Linked DNA regions of Mus musculus. The protein of the gene in region 2 interacts with the protein of the main gene of each other region in a pairwise test. Links are inferred from orthologs where the notes say so. Each region holds a gene or a part of one and is shown on either strand. Other genes may lie near its edges.

Evidence for each region.
Region 1: the proteins of Zfp385c (region 2) and Psma3 interact in a two-hybrid assay, tested with the Homo sapiens proteins (2 studies listed by BioGRID). The two-hybrid records come from large-scale screens. The link is inferred for Mus musculus from reciprocal best matches to the Homo sapiens genes ZNF385C and PSMA3.

The regions. Positions count from the first base shown.
Region 1 is NC_000078.6:70,991,557-70,994,090, reverse strand, and holds part of Psma3 (proteasome subunit alpha type-3), read right to left. Parts: intron 2,477-2,534; exon of another isoform or gene 2,036-2,476; intron 1,079-2,035; coding exon 1,011-1,078; intron 586-1,010; coding exon 521-585; intron 1-520. UniProt on the Homo sapiens protein: Component of the 20S core proteasome complex involved in the proteolytic degradation of most intracellular proteins. This complex plays numerous essential roles within the cell by associating with different regulatory particles.
Region 2 is NC_000077.6:100,636,962-100,640,618, forward strand, and holds part of Zfp385c (zinc finger protein 385C), read right to left. Parts: exon of another isoform or gene 2,809-3,657; coding exon of another isoform or gene 2,802-2,808; intron 932-2,801; coding exon 783-931; intron 1-782.

The DNA of each region.
Region 1 (2,534 bases), on a different chromosome or scaffold from region 2:
CTTGCTTTGTAGACCAGGCTGGCCTTGAACTGAGAGATGTTCCTGCCTCTGTTCCCTTTGCTGTGAATACAGGTGATACACCATGCCCAGCAACCCTGAAATGTTCAAGGAGACAACTCCTTTTTTTAAAGAGGCAAACACCAACAACAAAAAATAAAAAATAAAAGTTTAGAGCTAGGGCAAATCTATCCCCACCAGAGATAACCTTAAAGAGAGTAACCTAGGGGCTGGAGAGATGGCTCAGCGGTTAAGAGCACTGACTGCTCTTCCAGAGGTCCAATCCCAGTTCAAATCCCAGCAACCACATGGTGGCTCACAACCGCCGGTAATGAAATCTGATACCCTCATCTGGTGTGTCTGAAGTCAGCTACAGTGTACTTAAGATATAATAAATAAATCTTTAAAAAAACAAACAAACAAAAAAACCAGTAATCTAAAAGACAGTTTACCCTAATTTCAAGCAAACATCAACCAAATTACTTCATTACCACGATCCTGTTCAGAACAAGTTGCTGCTTACCTTGGCATATTTCTCTGCTTCCTCTCTTATGTCTTTGGGAACAATTTCATGTCTTCCTTTAGTTACTATAAAATCAAACCATATATTAAATATGAGGATTATAATTTGTAATACTGTGAACTCGCCCTAATCTTCAAGTGCATAGAGATCATTTCCTGTTGCCTCCTCCCCCAAATAATCATTATTCACAGGTGAACTCACTTAAAAATAACAGTAAGCTTGACTTATAAATCGGTTTTTTTTTTTGTTTTTTTTTTTCTTTTTTGTTTTTTTGAGACAGGGTTTCTCTGTATAGCCCTGGCTGTCCTGGAACTCACTCTGTAGACCAGGCTGGCCTCGAACTCAGAAATCCGCCTGCCTCTGCCTCTGCCTCTGCCTCCCAGGTGCTGGATTAAAGGTGTGTGCCACCATGCCCGGCAAGAATTCTTTCATTAACTTGTCGTAAAGTGCAAATAAATTCTAGAACAATAAATGTACAAATGTAACTTACATTCACCAACCCAGCTGAGCTCCAGTTCAAAAGCTTTATCCTTAACTTCATCGTGTACTATGTAAATTCTACAACAGAAAAGAAATTAACACAAAATAAACACAAGTTCTATAAACAGTGAGTACAAAGTAGACGTTGTGTGCCTGGTATTTATAAAATGACATACTCTCCAGCCTAGTTCAACCTTAGAAAGACAGATTAGGAGCTGGAGAGATGCTCAGTTGTAAGGTCACTTGGCTTTGGTTCTCAGCATACACAATGCTGACTTAGAACCCACATCTAACCCCACCACTCCTCTCCCCCAATCCAAAACCCTCTCCAGTCTCTTACAGTCAGACACAGTACATGCAAGCAAACTACTTATACACAGAAAATAAAAGTTTTATTTTCCTTAAAATGGGAAATTACACTGGAATTGAGACACTCTTTACAAATACTGATATACTTCTATTTCTCAAGTTGTTTATTTTGAAGCCGGGCGTGGTGGCGCACGCCTTTAATCACAGCACTCGGGAGGCAGAGGCAGGCGGATTTCTGAGTTCGAGGCCAGCCTGGTCTACAGAGTTCCAGGACAGCCAGGACTACACAGAGAAACCCTGTCTCGAACCCCCCCCCCCCCAAATAAAAAAAAAGTTGTTTATTTTGATAATGGTTTAAGGCTTCAAATAAAAGACATCTCAGAAAGAAAACAGATTCAAATTAGAAAGACCATATGCCTTTTCATGATACCCATTTTTTCTATTTGTAAACATATTTCAGAAACAAACCAGTAATTTAAACCATCTGTCCAGATAGTGTCAATGCCACTCAAACTGGTTCTTATGGTGTAATACATTACAAACAAGAAGGCACACAAGCAGTTACAGTAACAGTAAACAACTGAGCTTCAGCTGGCAGCAATGGCTCATGACTGTAATCCCAGGAGGTTAAGGCAGGACACTCCTGAATCTGAGGCTGTCCTCAAAATGACAAAAACCTCCCTATGATAGAAAAACAAAGCTTTCTGTTTCTTTTCTTACTTTTAGAGGCTCTGCTAAAGCCTTGCTGTATAGTACAAGAGAGCACCTTAGTTACAAGGATGAAAAGATGGCTTTCTGAAGAGGAACAAGTACTACCAATCACAAACTATGAAAGGTGCCAAAGGGTTGACTTCCAACAGGAACTTCAAAGACTATTTCAGCAACAGACCCTGGATTGTACCATACTCAAACTATTTAAAGGAATTACTTTCACTTTCCAATGTAATATGGTTCTTAACTGACTTAAAAAAGGAAGACTGCTTCATAACAGAAGGTAAATGAAGAGAGATGAGTCTTGGTAAGAATGGGAATAGTAAGAAACAAAATCCCTTTGTGAGAGATTATAGGCACCATCTTTTATTATGATAGAACCCAGATTTTTTTCCTTGTTTGTATTATCAAATGCAAAACCTGAAAGATACTATTACATAAAGAACCATATTCAGCAATACTGTAGTTTGTGTAGTTTACCTGAAAAGGCAGCTAGAAAGCGAGTACTCTACAC
Region 2 (3,657 bases):
TTCCTCTCTCATGGTCCTCCTCAGACACCAACCCCGGGAAACTGAAACCCCACCTACCTCTCTTCTGCCCAGATCTAGGCTGTCAGCATCTTTATTCAACTAATAATAGTTTTAAATGACAGAGCAAGGTCAGATAGCATTACTTGGTGTATGTGAGGATTTTCTCTGGTCCCTGAGGGCAACCAGGGTCAGTATTTAGCCTTACAATACATAGCAACAAACCAAACCTCAACACACCGGTCTCTTGCTTTGCTGAGAAAACAGGAGCTCCAAGTTCAGAGAGAGACCACAGAGGACATCCAGTGACCTCCTCTGGCTGCTGCGCACACATGTGAACACATACCGACTCGCACATAACTAAATACAGAAATCATAAAATAATCTTTAACCTCCAACGCAAGTGCCCATGGGCACACATAGCTCACACACACGGATCATCCATAAAATTCCATCTCCGCCAGGTGCAGTGGCCAAACCTTTAATCCCAGCACTCAGGAGGCAGAGGCAGGCGGATTTCTGAGTTCAAGGCCAGCCTGGTCTACAAATTGATTTCCAGGACAGCCAGGGCTATACAGAGAAACCCTGTCTCAGAAAAAAACAAAAACAAAACAAAAAACACCATCTCTGAACAGTTGTGATGGTGGGGTAGGGATGATATCATCCTCATCTCTAGGTAGGTGACAGCTGGTCCTTATTTGATAGCACCTAGGGCCAGCCGAGTCATCTTCCTTGCCCAACCCCCTTCCTTGCACATACCCCCCACCCTCCTGCCCGGCCCATACCGTGCTGAAGTTGGGGAAGAGACTGAGCGGGGTGGTGCCATTGAGGTGGAAGGCGAGCAAATGCTTCAGGTCCAGCGGGGGTTGCAGAGGCCGGGCGGGCAAAGTCAGGGAGGCCAACAAGGGGCTGGGGGAGCCGGAGGCCGGACCTGCTGCAGAAGGAAGAAGGGCAAGGTCTGAAATGAGGAGCCACGGGGCTCTCTCCCACCTCTGCTGCCAGAACAAAGGGCCAAGACAGGAACTTCCCGCTCCCTCTTCATAACGGCACCATCCCAACTCCATTGTGGAAGCAGAGTCCGGGAGTCCACAGCTCAAGTCTCCTAAGCAGAAGAGTGACCCTTTCTTACTGACAAGGTCAGCACTGTGGCCCAAATAGACACCAAAGGGAGTCCAGCCAAGAGAGGGGTCAGAGGAGTCAGGGTTGACATACACAAAACCATGGTGACAGGGTGACAGCATGACACACTACTTGTCCCAGTTGATCCCAAAGCACCAAACTCAGGGAGTGCGGGGAAAGGCCAACTCTTTTTGGTCTCACTAACTGTCCCTTTCTCACTTCCGGTTTCATGCCACTCACAGAAGGAATGAAAAGAAACCCAAAGCATAGGACTTGGGAGATGGCACATTGGTCAGAGCACTGGCCAGTCTACAGGACCTGGGTCTGATTCCCAGCACCCACATGTTAGCTCACAACTGTAACTCCAGTTACAGGGGACCCAATGTCAGCTTCTGACTTCTGCTGGCATCAGGCACACACGTGGTGCCCATATATGTCTGCACTTATATGTATCAAGTAAATCTTTAAGAGTCCCCCAAAGCCAGGCAGTGGTGGCGCACGCCTTTAATCCCAGCCCTTGGGAGGCAGATTTCTGAATTCAAGGCCAGCCTGGTCTACAAAGTGAGTTCCAGGACAGCCAGGGCTATACAGAGAACCCTGTCTTGAAAAAACCAAAACCAAACCAAACCAAACCAAACCAAACCAAACCAAAAGTCCCACAAAATTAAGAAGATAGAAAGAAACCCACAGCATTCTGAACAGTTGGGTTCCCAGTGCTGGTGGGGTACCTGCTGTTTCTCTGAGGATGCACCCCATCCAGCATCCAGGGTGACACCCCCAAGCCAGTCCTCAGGACCCACGGGAACAACACTGTGGTTTTGTAGTCTTTGGTCTTAACAGTGTGAAGTAAAGGCAGAAAGGGGCTGGAAACCGACAAACCAGATTTCAAGGGAGGAAAGGGAAAAATAAAAGCAGAAAGCAAGCTGGGCGGTGGTGGCGCTCGCCTTTAAACCCAGCACTTGGGAGGCAGAGGCAGGTGGATTTCTGAGTTCGAGGCCAGCCTGGTCTACAGAGTGAGTTCCAGGACAGCCAGGGCTACTCAGAGAAACCCTGTCTCGAAAAACAAACAAACAAACAAACAAAAAAGCAGAAAGCAACCCAGGTTACTGGAGACTTACTTGGGTCCTGTAACTGCCAAACCAAAAGAAGTGCCTTTCAATTCTTGGGTGTTAACCCCCTGAAACACCAGATGGGTTTATTTAGCATCTGTAGATGTAATGCCTATAATCACAGCCAGATACAGGAAAGCGGGCAGGTGGCAGATGGTAGGGGGAGCGTGGAGGATGGGAGGGAGGGGGAGCTCACTGAGGGTGAGCTCTCACCTATCTGTTCACAGACAGTGTTGTGTTATGTCAGGAGCAAGCACTCTGTCATTTGGTTTACCATCTCCTAGGGAAAAAGATTTTTTTGAGACAGGGTTTCTTCTGTAGCCCTGGCTGACCTGGAACTTACTCTGTAGACCAGGCTGGCCTCAAACTCAGAAATCCGCCTGCCTCTGCCTCCCAAGTGCTGGGATTAAAGGCATGTGTGTGCCACCACTGCCCGGCTAGGCCCAACCTTCTTTAATGGAAACTGGTAACCCAAGGGAAGGATCCAGAAAGGGAAAGTCTGAAAGGCCAGAAGGGGCGGGTAGATAGGGTGGTAGTGGTGGGGATGCGGGATAGGCAGCGCTGCCTAGATCTTACCTAGCATTTCAACCTACTTGCCCAGGCTCTTTCCTCATAGGCCAGGGATCTGGTTTGGTGATGAGTAGGTGAAGAGAAGAGCAGTTAGTAGGTCAGCTTGGCTGTAGTATAATTAAGGCTGCGTATCTCACCCTTCAATTTTCATGGCCCCTCGGTTAGCTAAGGTCAGGGGAGGCCACTCTCAGGAGAAGTGCCACCCCAGAGGTCCCTCCCGCACCCACTCTCTGAGAACTCCACGCCAATGCAGAGTCAAACTCATGCAGCTGGAGGAGAGGGGTAGCATCCACCGCGATCTTCACCACCTGCGGCCCGCCACGACTCCTCTTTGTCCCCACGACCGCAGCTCGTGGGTGCAGCCCACCTTGACCAGCAGCTCCGCACCCACGAGCAGCACTAAGGTCAGGGTGGCAAGGACGCGATTGTCGGGGAAAGAGTTCCTGCAGCTCCGAATGCGCGCCGGCAGAGGCGCCCGAGGCTCCAAGAACGCCAAGTCCCCCAGCGCGCTGGCGCACCATACCGGTCGCGCACAGTTCCTCAGGTGCCTGCGGGTAGCTGCAGAGATGGATGGCCAACACGGCCATCGCATCCTGCGAGGGTCCCGGGAAGGAGTCCCGCAGTCCCCTTCGCACGGCGTCCGGGAAAGCCTTTTGGTGGCGCTCCAAGCCTCGCAGCGTAGCCTCTGAGTACCCCAAGCAGCTCCACACTATAGTAGGTGCAGCGTTCGTCCGCGTGCTTTGGAGCCGGACTCGGAGATCGCCAGTTCCTTCGGGAAGCCATGGAGCCGCGCGCGACCGGAGCCGAGCTGCCATCACCACCGGCTGCAGCAAGGCAAGGTCCGGTTCTTCGTGCTGCAGGA